2 linked regions of the Oryctolagus cuniculus genome follow. The protein of the gene in region 1 purifies or fractionates together with the protein of each later gene. This does not show direct contact. Links are inferred from orthologs where the notes say so. Each region holds a gene or a part of one and is shown on either strand. Other genes may lie near its edges.

What was found.
Region 2: the proteins of COP1 (region 1) and ETV5 purify together in Homo sapiens (affinity purification with mass spectrometry; 6 studies listed by BioGRID and IntAct, counting the BioPlex papers as one, with this or other methods). This does not show direct contact. The link is inferred for Oryctolagus cuniculus from reciprocal best matches to the Homo sapiens genes COP1 and ETV5.

The regions. Positions count from the first base shown.
Region 1 is NC_091438.1:4,385,045-4,392,545, forward strand, and holds the start of COP1 (E3 ubiquitin-protein ligase COP1), read right to left. Parts: upstream 4,490-7,501; 5' UTR 4,214-4,489; coding exon 3,798-4,213; intron 1-3,797. UniProt on the Homo sapiens protein: E3 ubiquitin-protein ligase that mediates ubiquitination and subsequent proteasomal degradation of target proteins.
Region 2 is NC_091435.1:95,816,513-95,823,984, reverse strand, and holds the start of ETV5 (ETS translocation variant 5), read left to right. Parts: upstream 1-3,054; 5' UTR 3,055-3,206; coding exon 3,207-3,213; intron 3,214-4,828; exon of another isoform or gene 4,829-4,856; coding exon 4,857-4,975; intron 4,976-5,101; coding exon 5,102-5,189; intron 5,190-5,310; coding exon 5,311-5,358; intron 5,359-5,461; coding exon 5,462-5,512; intron 5,513-7,472. Other genes in the region: uncharacterized protein, read right to left, coding at 1,410-1,985, 2,929-2,958. UniProt on the Homo sapiens protein: Binds to DNA sequences containing the consensus nucleotide core sequence 5'-GGAA.-3'.

The sequences.
Region 1 (7,501 bases):
ATTAAAATACAAAGTATAAATCCCCAAAACATTAATTCTGCAGCTAAATATAAACTTGTTTTCAAATATGAGAGGTCAGTGTGTGCATCTGAACGTACATGTGACTTTATTTAAACTAACTGTTCTTAGGAAGGAAGACATAGCTGCTCAATCCTGTCTCCAATTCTGACTGTGGTATCTAGGGATGTGGACAAATGGGGAGAGGGAGTGGTCAAGGATAAAAATATATATCTCATGTGAATGAAATAGCTGCTTCGCTCTATCTACCCCATTTTAAGAACCACTGGGGTGCTGGTGCTGTGGCATAGTGGGTGAAGCCGCTGCCTGCAGTGCCAGCATCCCATGTGGACGCTGGTTCGAGTCCTGGCTGCTCCACTTCCGAACCAGCTATCTGCTGTGACCTGGGAAAGCAGCAGAGGATGGCCCCTGTCCTTGGGTCCCTGCACCCACGTGGGAGACCCTGAAGAAGCTCCTGATTCCTGACTACTGGCTTCGGATTGGTGCAGCTCTGGCCTTTGCCACCAGTTGGGGGGTGAGCCAGCAGATGGAAGACCTCTCTCTCTCTCTCTCTCTGCCTCTCCTTCTCTCCCTGTGTAACTCTTTCAAATAAATAAATAAATCTTAAAAAAAAAAAATCACTGGGCTAGATGGCTAGATACAAGTACCTTAACTTACAGATCTAAAATTCTCTAACTACATTCAAAGAAAGTTCTAAATTAACAATGTTGAGATGCAAGTTTTCATTTTGTTCCTGAGCTGCCCAATCTAAAAGAAAGCTACTTATCTTCTCTGTGCTTCAAAAGCAATTGTATTTTTTTTTTTTTTTTGGACAGGCAGAGTGGACAGTGAGAGAGAGAGACAGAGAGAAAGGTCTTCCTTTGCCGTTGGTTCACCCTCCAATGGCTGCCGCGGCCGGCGCGCTGCGGCCGGCGCACCGCGCTGATCCGATGGCAGGACCCAGGAGCCAGGTGCTTTTTCCTGGTCTCCCATGGGGTGCAGGGCCCAAGCACCTGGGCCATCCTCCACTGCACTCCCTGGCCACAGCAGAGAGCCGGCCTGGAAGAGGGGCAACCGGGACAGAATCCGGTGCCCCAACCGGGACTAGAACCCGGTGTGCCGGCGCCACAAGGCGGAGGATTAGCCTAGTGAGCCGCGGCGCCGGCCAGCAATTGTATTTTTAAAAGACAAGTTCTCTGTAAGCTCACAGAACTGCTGTAAGAATAAAATGAAATGTTAAGTATAAGCCTATGCTTAAAATGTGCTATAGACGAATAAGCAATCATCATTATTATTTGAACTTGACCTCACTTGGATATAAAGGTGCAGAGTAATTTGAATTGGTCAACAGTTTGACCTTGAGGCATACAAGACCAGACCAACCAACCACCAGAGCCAATCAGAAATGAAAAGGATTCCTTGGGCCTTGCCTAATTCATATCCTCTTATCCCAAGAGTTTGGCCAAGAGCAAATCTGGCTTAAGAAACAGAAAACGGTCTCTCATTAGTTAATTCCACTGAATATTCAAATTTTCCAGATAAAGAAGCAACAGACAAAAGAGATTCCTAGACAGAAAGTGAAATATTCAGAGTTTTTACCTAAATATTTTCATTGGATGTTTCCACACTAGAAATCAATAGTCTAGGCAACATGGTTAGGACTCAAAACTAGATTGAAATTTTTAAAAGTTGGGGTTGGCGCTGTGGCACAGCAGGATAATGCCCTGGCCTGAAGCGCCGCTGGCATCCCATATGGGTGCCGGTTTGAGACCTGGCAGCTCCACTTCTGATCCAGTTCTCTGCTGTGGCCTGGGAAGGCAGTAGAATATGGCCCAAGTCCTTGGGCCCCTGCACCCGTGTGGGAGATCTGGAAGAAGCTCCTGGCTTCGGATCAGCGCAGCTCCGGCCGTTGTGGCCAACTGGGGAGTGAATCATTAGATGGAAGACCTCTCTCTTCTCTCTCTCTCTGCCTCTCCTCTCTTCTCTGTGTAACTCTGACCTTCAAATAAATAAATCTTTAAAAAAATTTAAGTGATAAATAAAAATTTTAATAAAATTTTAAACTAATTAAATATCAGTGCCATCTACTCCTACAACGTATTTTACAGTACACAGAAACTCATAGGGTGTTTGGCAAAAAGCAAATGTCAAATAACTATCTGTTAATTGAAAATGAATCTTGATGTGAATGGAATGGGAGAGGGAGTGGGAGATGGGAGGGTTGCGGGTGGGAGGGAAATTATGGGGGGTGGGGGGAAGCCATTGTAATCCATAAGCTGTACTTTGGAAATTTATATTTGCTAAATAAAAGTTAAAAAACAACTATCTGTTGAGTGACTGAATGATTGCTTCCCTTATTTCTCACCTCTTCCATACTATTTCAGTGATCTACACAGATGCTGACATGTTTGTTTTCTTTTAGTCTATTGAAAACTGAAAAGCAAATAGTGTTTACAAAGACAACTAAATTCTGCAGACTCCCACTATTTTATTATCTTTTACCTCATGGTGTGGCTCTATTGGGACTGGGAGGGAAGGCAAGCAACTCTTAGACCCAGCCACAGACTGTTCAACTTATTTATGAACAACAATCCCAAGTATAGCCCAGTGTCAATTTAAAAATGAACTAACTTTGAATCCAGAATAAAAGCAGAATTATGAATAAGGATGTAATCCTTCTGCAGGAACAAGAATCTGTCTGCACATCTAATCAATGAATGTTCCCGATCATTTCCATTTCTAGCCCTATCATGCTTACTGACAATTCCGATTATCTTCAACTTCCCCCATGAATGTGCAAGCCAACTTCCTACACTCACTGAAAGTTCTATCAACGAGCCTTCCTGCAGGAAGGGCACAAATCCCTGTCGGTTCTTAATCAGCTAAAAACTGCTGCTGTCTCATAATCCTACCAACAGTAAGCACAGCCTAATGAAAACCCCAAAACGGACTCAGCAAGACAATGAACTTCACCCTTCACTGAAAGTAACCAAATCGCCTTTGAGTCAAATACAACCACATGTTACTGTGTATCATTCAAGATGCAACCATGATGACAAAATGTCTACACGGAGCATTTCAAATCACTCAAGTTTCCGTGTACTCAGTTATACAGTGTAAAACAATTACACCTGACCCACGGATAATATTTCATCAACGTGCTTCGTTCTTTCAAGAAACCCACCTGACAAGTGGAATTTTTTTGTGCACAGACTGGCTGCTGTAGCCTCAAGAGCAGATTTAAAACTAATCGCCTTAACCATTGAGATGGAAAAGGAGAGATATCTATATTCACACACGATGGGTGCTTGCACTAAACCCCTCTTCCTAAAACACCCACACCCATGTTCAGGGCATCATCCAGCACACTTCCTCTGAGGACATTCTGACCAACTCCATCCCTCAGCATCCCAGCAGGAAAGATCCTCTCCCTTGGCAAATTGAATTCACCACCACGGGTACTGTCGGGTCACCAAACAGCCAAAACGTTCCAGACCCCACCTCCTCGCCCAAATTTCTCCTGGTAGCAACGACCACTGACCTGACCTTGCACGCCTCCCGGCGCCCCCGTGCACTACTCCCCAGCGCCTCTTTCTCTTGCTGCGGCCGACCCTGCCTCGGGACGCCCGCACTGCCCACCCCAGCACCCCCGAGCCGGAACGTGTCTGCAAAGCATCGGATCCCGCTGCAGGCGCCACTTCTGCACCAGCATCCCGCGCTCTCCCGCACTGCAGCCCGCCGGCCCCAGGCACAGAACTCCCGAATTCGCCAGCGGGAAGCGGGGTGCTCTTCAAACCCACCAGACGAAGTCGTTGCTTTTGTCCTCGTAGGAGTTGAGGAGCCCGTTGCAGAGAGGGGCGAGCAGGGGTCGCTTCCTGCTGCCGCTGCCGAGGCTGGAGCTGCTGCCTCCTACGCCGGCGCTGGGCCTGGCCGCGCAGCTGAGCCGGGACAGGCCCGCCGACACCGCCCCGCCGCCGCCGCCGCCGCCCGACACGGCGGCCGCCACCAGCACAGGCCGCGCCGGACCCCCGAGGCCGCCCGAGCCCGCGGCCTGCGCGGCCCCGCCGGACCCCAGCGCCGCCGCCGCCGCCGCCGCCGCGGCAGGGGGCGACGGGGAAGAGGCTAAGGACGAGGAGGCGGAAGTCACCGAGGAGGCCGCCGAGGAGCCGGGGCTCGTCCCCGCGGAGCCGGAGCCGGCCTGGCGGCTGCTGGACATCCTGACTGCCGCCCCTGCGGCCGGCGCTGGGGGCCGAGGGAGCGCGACCCTCCGCCGCCTCCCCGCCCCGCCTCAGTGCATCCTGAGGGCGCGCGCCGCGCCGGGAGGTGGGGCGAGGAACAATAAAGTTGGCTTTTTCTTTTCTTTTTTTTTTTTTTTAAAGGCAACCACACACCAGCGCGCGACGGGAGGGGGCGGAGGAAACTCGTCGAGCGGCGTCGAAGCCACTGCCGCCCTCGCGGCCGCCGCCAACCCCGGCGCGTCGTGGCCGGCCGTGCGCGTGCGCGTGCGCGGCGGAAGGGGCGGGCGCGGCGCGCGCTACAACTCCGGGAGCGTCCTCGGCCGGAGACTCCCCGGTCGAAAGCGGCGTTCGTTCTTGACGTAGGCGAGGGCCTTCTTGGATTGGTGGGATGGAGAGGAGTGGGATGAATGGTGAGGGGTGGCGCGGCGGCTTGACGGACGGCCGGAGGGGCGGGGAGAAGCGCTCGGGAAAGCGACTGCGCACGCGCGCCCGCCGGAGGCGCCGACGCTCGCGGGGCACCCCGGGTGCCCGACCCCGGCGCGGCCGCGCGGAGGCCGCATCGCGCATGCGTGCGTGCGTGCGGGCGGGCGCACCGCCTTCCGGAAGGCGCGGTGGGAGTGGTGGCTGTCTCCTCAGAGGCGGGCGGTGTGGCTCGGTGGCGAGGGCGCAGGTGTCTGGGGGCGCACGGAAGGAGCCGAGAAGCGTGGAGCAGCTGTAGAGGTCGCCGGGCTGGCTCTGCTGAGGTGAATCGCTTTTCCCCAGCGTCGCCGGTGACAGCTGGTGAATGGCAAACGTCATGGCAGGCGTTCCCGGTTTCGCTCCCGTATTTTGAAGAGTTTACTAAATTTAACACGGCAACAATGGGAAACCGCGTGGTGCTTAACCAGAAGACAGCTGTGTCAGAATCCCGGCTTAACATTGGCCTGTTGCAGTTGTAGCACGAAACGAGGAAACCTGGCCCGTGGCCCCGTTAGAAATGTGCACTTTGGAGTAGGCTTTTTTTTTTTTTTTTTTTGAGTATTGGAAACGGCGGACTCTCTTACTTGCCGCCCTTGAGAATCCCTAACATTCTGGAAGATGCCAGATTTGCTCTGTCCTGGTGCTGACAAAGTCTGTTGGCACCGAGGGGCTTTCTCTGGGAATAACTGGCCATGCTGGCGGGCAGGGCCGAGGAAAGGCTTAGAGAGCCCCAGCAGCGCCGACCGGGACTTTGCCCTGGGCAGTAGCCATCGCCAGGCACCTGCCATCCTAGTCCCAGCTTCGTGGGCTGAGCTCAGGGTTTTGCTCAGATGATGTAGGAACGAGCTTTCCAGGTTTCTGAAAACAGCTCTTGCAAGAAAGTCTTGCATCATCCGAATTGTTGTTTAAAGTTCTCCTTCAAGACCCAGTGGAAGCGTGAAGTGGCAGAGATCTTTGCACCCTCCTTTGTGCAACCAGGATATTCCGTTTGCCCTTGTAACGTTGCATTTTAGTGCTTTACATGCGACCTCCATCAGCCGTGTCAGCTTTCAGCTTATATTGTGCTCGTGCCTGACCTGTGATAGGTCTGCATTAAACATTTCTGTGTTACCATGAATAACCCTATTGATCATCTCATTTTTATTTAACATCTGTATTTCCAGCTAAATTATTAGCCTATGAAAGCAAGTACCATATGGGGCATTCAGTAATTATTTGATGAGGGAATGCATAAGTAAATTGATGGTGAAGATTTATTAAATGCTCACTATGCGTTAAGCCTGGATTGCTAGAAAGAAAAAGTTTATAAAAACATTGTTTCTGCATTTAAGAAACCAATGGAATAATTGAAGAATTAGGAATAAAGGTAATAATATCAAGGAGCACATGCTAAATGCTTAGCAGGTGAAGTAGAGAGTCACCATAGGAGTTTGGAGCAAGAGCATATATAAAGGGCCAGCCCTTTTGCTGGAGGCCTTAAGAGAAAAATATGGCTTGGTTAATCAAAAAGTATAAAGTTATCATTCTAGAGACAAGCTTTCAGCAAATTCAGATTTCTGATAGAGAAAGAACAATTCTCTAGGAGAAATTTCTCTGGAGACTATATCATCAAGACCTCAAATTTAGTCTGAAAAATAGCCAATAAACAATTGAGAACAAGAAAGCATTAACCAGAATTTTTAAAAAATGTGACAAGTATGTAAGATGTTAATGATAGGGGAAGCTGGGGCCTGTTGTGCCAGCATTCCATATGGGCACTGGTTCGAGTCCCCGCTGCTCCACGTCTGATCCGGCTTTCTGCTATGGCCTGGGAAAGCAGTAGAAGATGGCCCAAGTCCTTGGGCCCCTGCACCCACATGGGAAACCCAGAAGAAGCTCCTGGCTCATGGCTTCAGATCAGCACCACTCCGGCTGTCACAGCCAACTAGGAAGTGAACCAGCGAGTTGAAGACCTCTCTCTCCTCTCTCCTCTCTCTCTCTCCCCTTCTGCCTCTCCTTCTCTGTGTAACTGTGACTTTCAAATAAATAAATAAATATATTTTAAAAAAATGTAATGGGGAACCTGAATTTGAGGTATATGGGAACTCTGTACACCTCCACAATTTCTGTTTTGTAAATTTAGAACTATTTTGAAATAAAAAGTTTTTAAAATGGTTGTTTTGAAGGCTTAAATTTTTGGTGGATTAATTTTAAATGAGGTGGCAGTTTAGGAGCAAAAAGACTCAAAAAATTACAGCAATCAATAATAAATGATAAGATTCTAGATTAGGTCACTGATGAGGAAAGTAAAATATTCTGAGAAAAAAGCTAAAGTTGCCATAGTGTTACGTTAACTCTGTAAAAGAATCTAAGAAATTTGAAGGCATGACCCAAGTCTGGTCATGTCTTCACTGTCTTTCTCAGTGCATGGCACCGTGGCCACTATGGTGACCAAGAGTAAAGAATGACTCCAAAGATAACTCTTGCTAATGTGATGCTAGAGTTGGAGACACCCAGTGGTGATTTAGTTTTGAATGTGTTCACTATTGGATGAGAAAATATTCTGGTAAGTATATACAGGAAGTGGTTGAAAATTCAAGGCTGAGGCTCAAAAGAAAGTTGAGTACATGAGAGAAATACTTGGAGGTTGGTAAAGTGTATCACTGATTAAGATGATTTTACGAAACTATTATTATGCCATGATTATGAAATCTTAGTCTGGAGAAAATTCATCTAGGAAGTTTGTTAAAAACTGCTGATTCCTGGGGCCAGTGCTGTGGTGTAGTAGGTTAAGTTTGTGCCTGCGATGTTGGCATCTCCTGTGAGTG
Region 2 (7,472 bases), on another chromosome or scaffold:
GAAATCAAATGTCAGGGAACTTCTCGTTAAAAGTTCGGAAGTACTTTCCCACGGGTCAGCTCAGGCCCAGGCCAGTGTCCCGCAGAGTCAGCAGCTCATGCCTGGTCAGTACAGAGCCCAGGACTCAACACTGGTGCCCCAGGTTCCTTAGGTGCAGCCAAATAGATAATTCAAGGGCTAAAGGCAGCATGCCCAGCGCCCACTCTGTGTAAGTTACACAAGTGGAGGCAGGCAAGAAGGTGGAAACAGTTGGACTTTAAAGCCTTTTTTTTATTTTATTTTTTTTGAGACGGAGAGCGATCCACACTGCATTCTCCACGGGTGGGGGGGGGGTGAGGGGCAGCCGCAGGGCTGGCTACTCTAGGCGTCCCTTTTGTAGGGGCTGGCTCCTCTGCGCCGCAGGCACACGGGCCCAGTGCCAGGGCGCACGGACAGAGCGAGCACACAGGAGCTCCTCGCGAGCCCCAGCATCCAGCGGGAGAGGACGGCGCCGCCGAGGCCTCCCCGGGAGGGGGCAGGGGGCGCCGGGGCAGTAGGGTGCTGTTTGGTTTGCGCCTTGGAACTCCCAGTGAAAATTCTCGGCGACGGCACTTAGTGCTCTGTCGTGGAGCGAGCAGGACCGCCTCTCGTGCTTCCCAGCTGCAGGGATCTGATTCGCAAACACACCATCTTGCAGTCAACGCTCGAACGGAAAGCAGGCGGCCGAGCTGCGTGCCAGCCTCGGAGTGATCCGTTTCCGGGTGGGGGAACCGACGGGAGCGGACTCCGGAGAGGACGTGTGAGAGCCCCGACCCTCCCTCACCTCGGCTCCAGAACCCACCCACCCGGAGCCAGTGGGGTTTGCTCGGGCCTTGGGCCTTGCCAGCATGAGCCAGTCACTAAAATCTGTTCGAGACCCAGACTCAATGGACGCTGCTGCTTCTTCCCACTGGAAACGCAGGCCTCTCCTAATGGTGGCTGAGATTAGAGGGCTCGGTTTCCGTTCTCCGTGTTTCTGTGGGCCCGACGCCCGGCTTGGTCGGCGAGTTTCAGTGTGTGTGTGTGTGTGTGTGTGTGTGTAATGACGAATTCCTCTCGCCTGATTCTAAAACCATAACTTCGCTGGGTGCTGCAGCTGCGATGGTCTGGCGCCAAGCGACCCAATCCAGGCCGGAGGGAGAAGTGGGGGTGAGTGGGGAAGGGGAAAGAGCCGAGCTTCGGCAAAGTGGGAAGTAACGGCGGCTCCGCCCGGCCTCTGCCCCTTTAAGTGCTTCACTGACTCAGCTAAGCTTCCCCCTCAGGTCGCGTTTTTTATGAATGAAAAACGTCCTTACATTCATTACATAAACAAGCCTGTGCTGATTGGCTAACGGCCCCCGGTGCATAAATTATGTAAAACAGACCCCAGAGTGGGGTGGAGAGAGACGTACCGTTGGCCAATGGGAGCCGGAGTTGATGGGGCGGCTCGGCTGGATTTGCCCGAAGACAGGGTAAACAAGAGGTGATGGACAGCCGCGGGAACGGCCTCGGGCCAATGGGAACAAGGGTGGGTTAAGGCCGCAGGCCAATGGCGGCGGGCGAAGCAGTGGGCCGCTGGGGGCCGGGCCAGCCGCTCCAGCCTGGTTGGCAGCTGCGGCGCAGAGTCCAGCCGCTGGTGTGCGGAGCGGTTCAGTCTCCGGAGCGGTTCGGCCCAGCCATTCGTCCAGGCGCCCAGGCCCGGTGCGCGCGTGCGTGAGCGCGCCTGCGCCGCCCGGGCCGCTGCAAGGGGAGGAGAGCGGCAGCCTCAGGTGTGGGGGCGTTGCGGGGACAGGGGGGCATCGGAGGGGGTGTCCTGTAACGCGTCCGAACGGCCCAGCTGGCGAGAGTTCGCGGGCTGTTCCTCCATCCTCAAACTCGGGGTGCACATCTGGGGTGAGTCCCCCGGGGCTGGCTGACCGACAACCCCCCACCGCCGTCCCCCGCGGCCCGGTCCGGTTCGGTTCCAGGGAGGCGTCGGGCGGGGGCGGCTAACGGTTCCGGAGCGCGAGAGGAGCGGGTTCCGCACGTCGCTGGGGAGGCGCGCGGGAGCGCGAGGTGCGGGGGCTTCAAGGTGGAGATGGGGAGCGCCGAGTTGCGGAGCTTTGCAGTCTCTGGAGATCTGAGCCCCGAGGGGACTTGGAGGCTCGCGAGAAGAGACGCTTGGCGGAGCTTTGCAGCTGGGGGGTGGGGTGGGGGAGGAGTGCGTGAGGGCCACTGCCCCCCCAACACCCAGAGAAGGTTAGTGACACCGGAGGGTGTAGCCTTCGGGGTGGGGGTCGGCCAGGAACTTCTGCAGGCCTTGCAAGTTTCAGGCTGTGGAAAGTGGACGCTCAGCCCCGTCTGCCCCCATCATCAGTAAGCCGAGGGCGTCGGGCTGCGCAGCGACTCCCGAGGAAAATCGGGGAGCCCCCGAGCAGCGGCCTGCGGAGGGTGTGGGGGAAGCGGGTGCGGAGGGGGATGGAGCGATGCTGGAGCCTCGGGCTGGATTAGGAGACGGGCCGAGTCTTCGGACGAGCCGGGCCTCTGGGGGGAACGGAACTCCCGGTCGAGGAGGGGGTGCCGAAGAGCGATGTGTGGATCTGGGGGGGTGGGTTGGAGGCGCTTGGTAGCGCCCGGCGCAGCACCTCGTTTTATGAATGTCGGCGACTTGATGAATGAAGCGGGTTTCTTTCGTTGGCTCGCTGCTCCCTGCGGCTTTTTTTTTTTTTTTCCTTCCCTCTCCCCCTTTCCCTTTTTGTGAATGAAGCATTGAGCTCTCTTCCTAAAACGCTGGGGTGAGGGGCCTGCGTCGGAGGCTGGGCGTGCGTTGGGAGTGGGGGTGGGGGCGCAGCTGAAGGAGTTTTCATGAATGGGGAAGGCTGGGAATTGGGTGGAAGTGTGTCTTGTTTTGTGAATGGGGCCCAGCGCGAGGGATCCAGTTACAGCCTCTACCTGAGGTGGCGGCCGCGGCTCGCTCTCCATTCATAAAACCGGGCCCGCTGCGCGCCGCGGGGGAGGGGCTCGGCCGCGCCGCAGCGCTGAGTTAAAGTTTTCCTGGGGGCGCCGCGGGGCGGGGGCGCGGGAGGGGGAGCGCAAAGGAAGTGGCTTACACTCCTGGATGGACTCGAGCCTTCCCTTCGGGCGCATAGCAGATACTTTGAACACGGCGTTGCTAGCCCTTGAACTCCGGAGGCTGCTTTCAACTCGACGCTGCTTTTTGTGGTTCGCTCATGGCAGGTCTTTTTTATTTTTTCTTTCCCCTCTTAATTTCATCTTTACAAATAGATTTGCCCTTCAGGGAGAAGTATTTTATCGTGATATTCTGAAAGTGTCTCCCCTCTGGTGTCCTGCCCCACCCCAATAGACGCTGACAGAATTTCTAAAGCCACGATTTAACCAGGCAGATTTTCCGCCGGAGACAGAGAGCTCTTTCTGGTTGCCCCTTCGCTCACTTCTGAGATTTCTCGCGTTTTGTGTACGGGTTGGTGACATGTGAGAACGAGGCTTTATCCTGAACTCTTTTGCGCTGTTTGGAAGGCAGGCGGGCAGGCTGGCCCCGGGTGTTTTTCTAGGAAGTTATAAACTGTGTGCTGTTTTGCTCCTCTTTCTTTTGACTTTGAAAATATCTGATTACTTGGGCCAGCGTGCTGAGGAGGAGGCTGGCGGTGAAGGGTTCTCTGGTATCCTGCTCACTTTCGAAAATTTGAGATGCTCCACGCAGTGTGAAAAACAGATTGGATGGAATTGCCCGCTGGGAATAAAAAAGTTCCCTGTTTAAAATTCGTGTACAAATTAAACAAAAGAAACCCTTACTGCCTTGCTAGAGCTAGGCTGAGTGAAATTAATGCATTCCCCCATTTTGTAAGAACCTATGTTTTCATATGGAGAATAAAACGGAGTTCCAGAAGCTGGAACCTTTCTAAAATTACTATCACTTTGTTCCTCCAAAATTAGAGAAAGTTCTCTCGCCTCCCTTCTGATTCTTAACCTTTCTTCGCAGTGCTAAACATTCACCAGTGCTGAAATGAGTTTTATTTATTTCTTTGTTGATATGTCTGGGGAAATTGACTTCACTGTAAGAGACAAACTGAATGTTCTGCCATGGATGTTTCGCTTTAAGCATTTTTTTAAAAGACTTTTGGCACAGATGCACTTAAAATATGTGTAATGGAATTTAGTTTCGTTTATTACTTTTCACAGACTTTTATTCTGTCAGAAGTTGGTGATATCACAGATAAGTTACCATGGAGACAGTTTGTGATATTATAGACACTACAGGTACACCTGTTTGGACAGAAGGTTTAGATTTTAAATAAAGAATTGTGTGTGAAGAGCTTACCTCTGATCAACTTTATTCCTGGAACTATATATAGTATTTTACCACTGACCTACAAAATACTTTTAGAAACACCATGTATGTCAGGGTGTTAATTGCCAATAATTTGGAATACTTAAACCCAGTTTCTCTACTTCCTGTCACTGCACTATCAAAAATTAAATTATCTCCTTTTAAAACCCTGCCCTGGGGGATCTTGCATATGAGAGAAATTTGAAATCACCCTTTAATAATGAAATAAGGTCTTTTTCTTTTTCTGATGGGGGGACAGGCAGTACCAGAACCTTGACGATGATGATGAGAGAGAGGGAGAGAGAAAAGAAAGGAAATGGTGCTTGAGTAAATGGCATTAAGTCCGTGGTGCAGCTTTGATACCGTTAATCAAGCCTGCCATTGGTCTGTATAACTTACGCCTTGAGTGGGCTTTCAAGTACTTCAGAAAACGGTAGTGATTTGGCACAGGCCCTAAAGGAAAAAGTAGTGTAAAATTGCTTCGTTTCTCTCCCTGCCCCGCAGTTGAAGATCTCCCAAATTCCTGTTACAGGAGGATTTCCTTTGCCCCAGAAATTACTCAATGCTGAAACCTTTCAAAGCGGCATTAGAGACGTTGGAAGCATCATGGATGGATTTTATGATCAGCAAGTCCCTTTTATGGTCCCAGGGGTAAGTCCACGTGACGTTTGGTTTGTCTCATCCTCCCTGCTCAGTGATGAGTCTTCTCCATGCTGCTTCAACGGGTCGACCCCCTTTGACCTGTGTACCACACTCAGGTGTTCTGGCCTCTTTCAGAAATCCCGATCAGAGGAATGCCGAGGGCGGCCTGTGATTGACAGAAAGAGGAAGTTTCTGGACACAGATCTGGCTCACGATTCTGAAGGTAGTGAAGCACACCCCTCCTGTGTTGTGGCTTCCTCCAGTCACGCTCCCCCGCCAACCCCCCACCTTCTCCCAAGCAGAAGAAAGATCCTCATTCTGGGGTCTCCTGTTTTCAATTCCAGAGTTGTTTCAAGATCTCAGTCAACTTCAAGAGGCTTGGTTAGCTGAAGGCAAGTTTCTTGGCTGTTCTATTTTTCATCTAAAGCATTTCACTGTGCTTTTTAATAAAAAAAAAAAAAAATCCACGGTCTAAAATGAACATCTCTTTTGCAGCACAAGTTCCTGATGATGAACAGTTTGTCCCAGATTTCCAGGCTGATAACCGTAAGTGTCTCGCGGGGCTCGGGCGTCCGTTCTGAAGCGCGTATTTGATTCGGATCACCCAAGTCTGGGACAGCCTCAGCCAGAGCCCGCAGATTTTGCAAGTAGTTACTTGTGACAAATCAGAGCTAACCCAGAAAACTTGTTTTGTTCCTTATTGAAATGATTCCTAAAGTGCTTCTACTCCTTTGCAGGTGAGATTGACGGAACAAAATTCCACCCCACATTTCTTCCTGCTTTTACAGCTTTGCAAACCTTCTAGCTGAAAATTAAGTTTAACTGACATATATGATGTTGGACCAAGCATCTGTTCGCTAGACAGTATCTGACAGCTTTTGGGTTTGTTTTATAAATTAAGTCCTGGATGCAAATCACGAACCTGAGGTTTTCCGTTCTTTTTAAAGGTGCAGAAAGTAGTTCATGGGAAAATCCACTTAATTGTGGTCTCACGCAACGTGTTTGTTGTCAAACTCGTTTCTACTTCTAAGCTGACAAGGGGTGGTCGAAGAGTGACCTGACTGGCAGTTACTTTTCTCATAGTCCCCCCTGACTTTGCTGTTCCAAGAGTAGAAACATTTTTTTTTTGAATGGTCATTAAGTGCTTATTCCTCGAGATAATAAAATGCAGTGAGGAGCTCAAAAGATGGCTCTCAGTGCTGGCAGGGGCATCCTCAGCCTTCACGCACTGAATCGTCTGGGGCTGTCCTCCACAGGTTTGGAGGCTTTTGTGGTCCAGGCAGAGCTATCAAGGACAAAGCTGCCTGATGAAATTTGAGCAGCACAGAGCCGCTCTAGAGAGCATTAGTCACTGGCGAACGAGCAGGTTTAAGAGAGGCCTGGAGAAAATGCTGCCTCTCTTGAGAGTTGCATCATAGAGAAATTCGTGTCTCTTAGTCATAGTTTATAATAGCAAGCACCTGAGCCAGGCATGGATTCGATGTCTCATTTTTGCACCAGCAGATTCTTCCCAGCTTTGTTTTATCTCTGGGGTGTGTGCATAAAAATGCCAGTAGGAGACAGAGTATCTTTGGGTCTAAGTAAAGCTGGGTATTTTACATTTATGAAATGAAAGAACAGAAGTCCCAGCTAAACGTTCTTTAATGATAGGCCTCCTGTCCAAGGCAGAACGCCATGAAACTTTAAAAGGGATTAAACTGTAACCCACAGATGCTTGGTTACCTTAGCTTTGTCACAGCTTGCTCTGGGTGTTTTCTATAGGCAAGTAAATGAATTTTAATTATTGCCCTTTGATTGCTTTCAAGTAATTGGGATGCCTGCCACTAGAAGGCTAAATAAAGATAACTCAAATTATGTGTGTGTGCATGTGTGTGTATGTGCACACGATGAAAGACGGGATTTGTAATCCAGCTTTGTTCCCTGTTGACGGTTTGGCCAGTTCTTGCTCAGAGCAGCATCAGCTGCAGTCTGGGAGGTGGCTTTCTTGGCAGCGATTCTTTGAAATGCTTTTATGACACCTTGGTTTGTTTCTCTGGAACCCAAAAGAGAGAAAAGAGAGGTGTGACGCTATGTGCACATTGACCGCGTGGCCTGCAGCAAGGGCTGTGTTCCATAGAGAGATGTTAACAAGTAAGATTTGTACCTGAAGAGGTGTTTCTGTGTGGGAATGGGCTAAAGTGGAGAAATCAATAAAAGTGTTTTGGTTCCTTAGAAATAATTCCTACTCAGCGAATGGTTTATGCTAAGTTCTTTAATTAAAATACCAGACCTTAAATGGAGTTGCTTTGGGAGATGTTTCTGCTTACCAAGTATGACTTTTTTTTTAACCTTGTTTGCTTTTGCTTTAACTTCTTAAGGTTGAGCTTTCCTGTCTTTTAAGGATAAAACAGTATGTTGAGTAGCCTAGAAAAACCTTGTAATAATTCTTGCTTCCTCTGTGACTCATGTTTCTTGAGGTGGAGCTTGGAGAATAGATTCAGATAGATGACTTGCATGAGACGCTGGT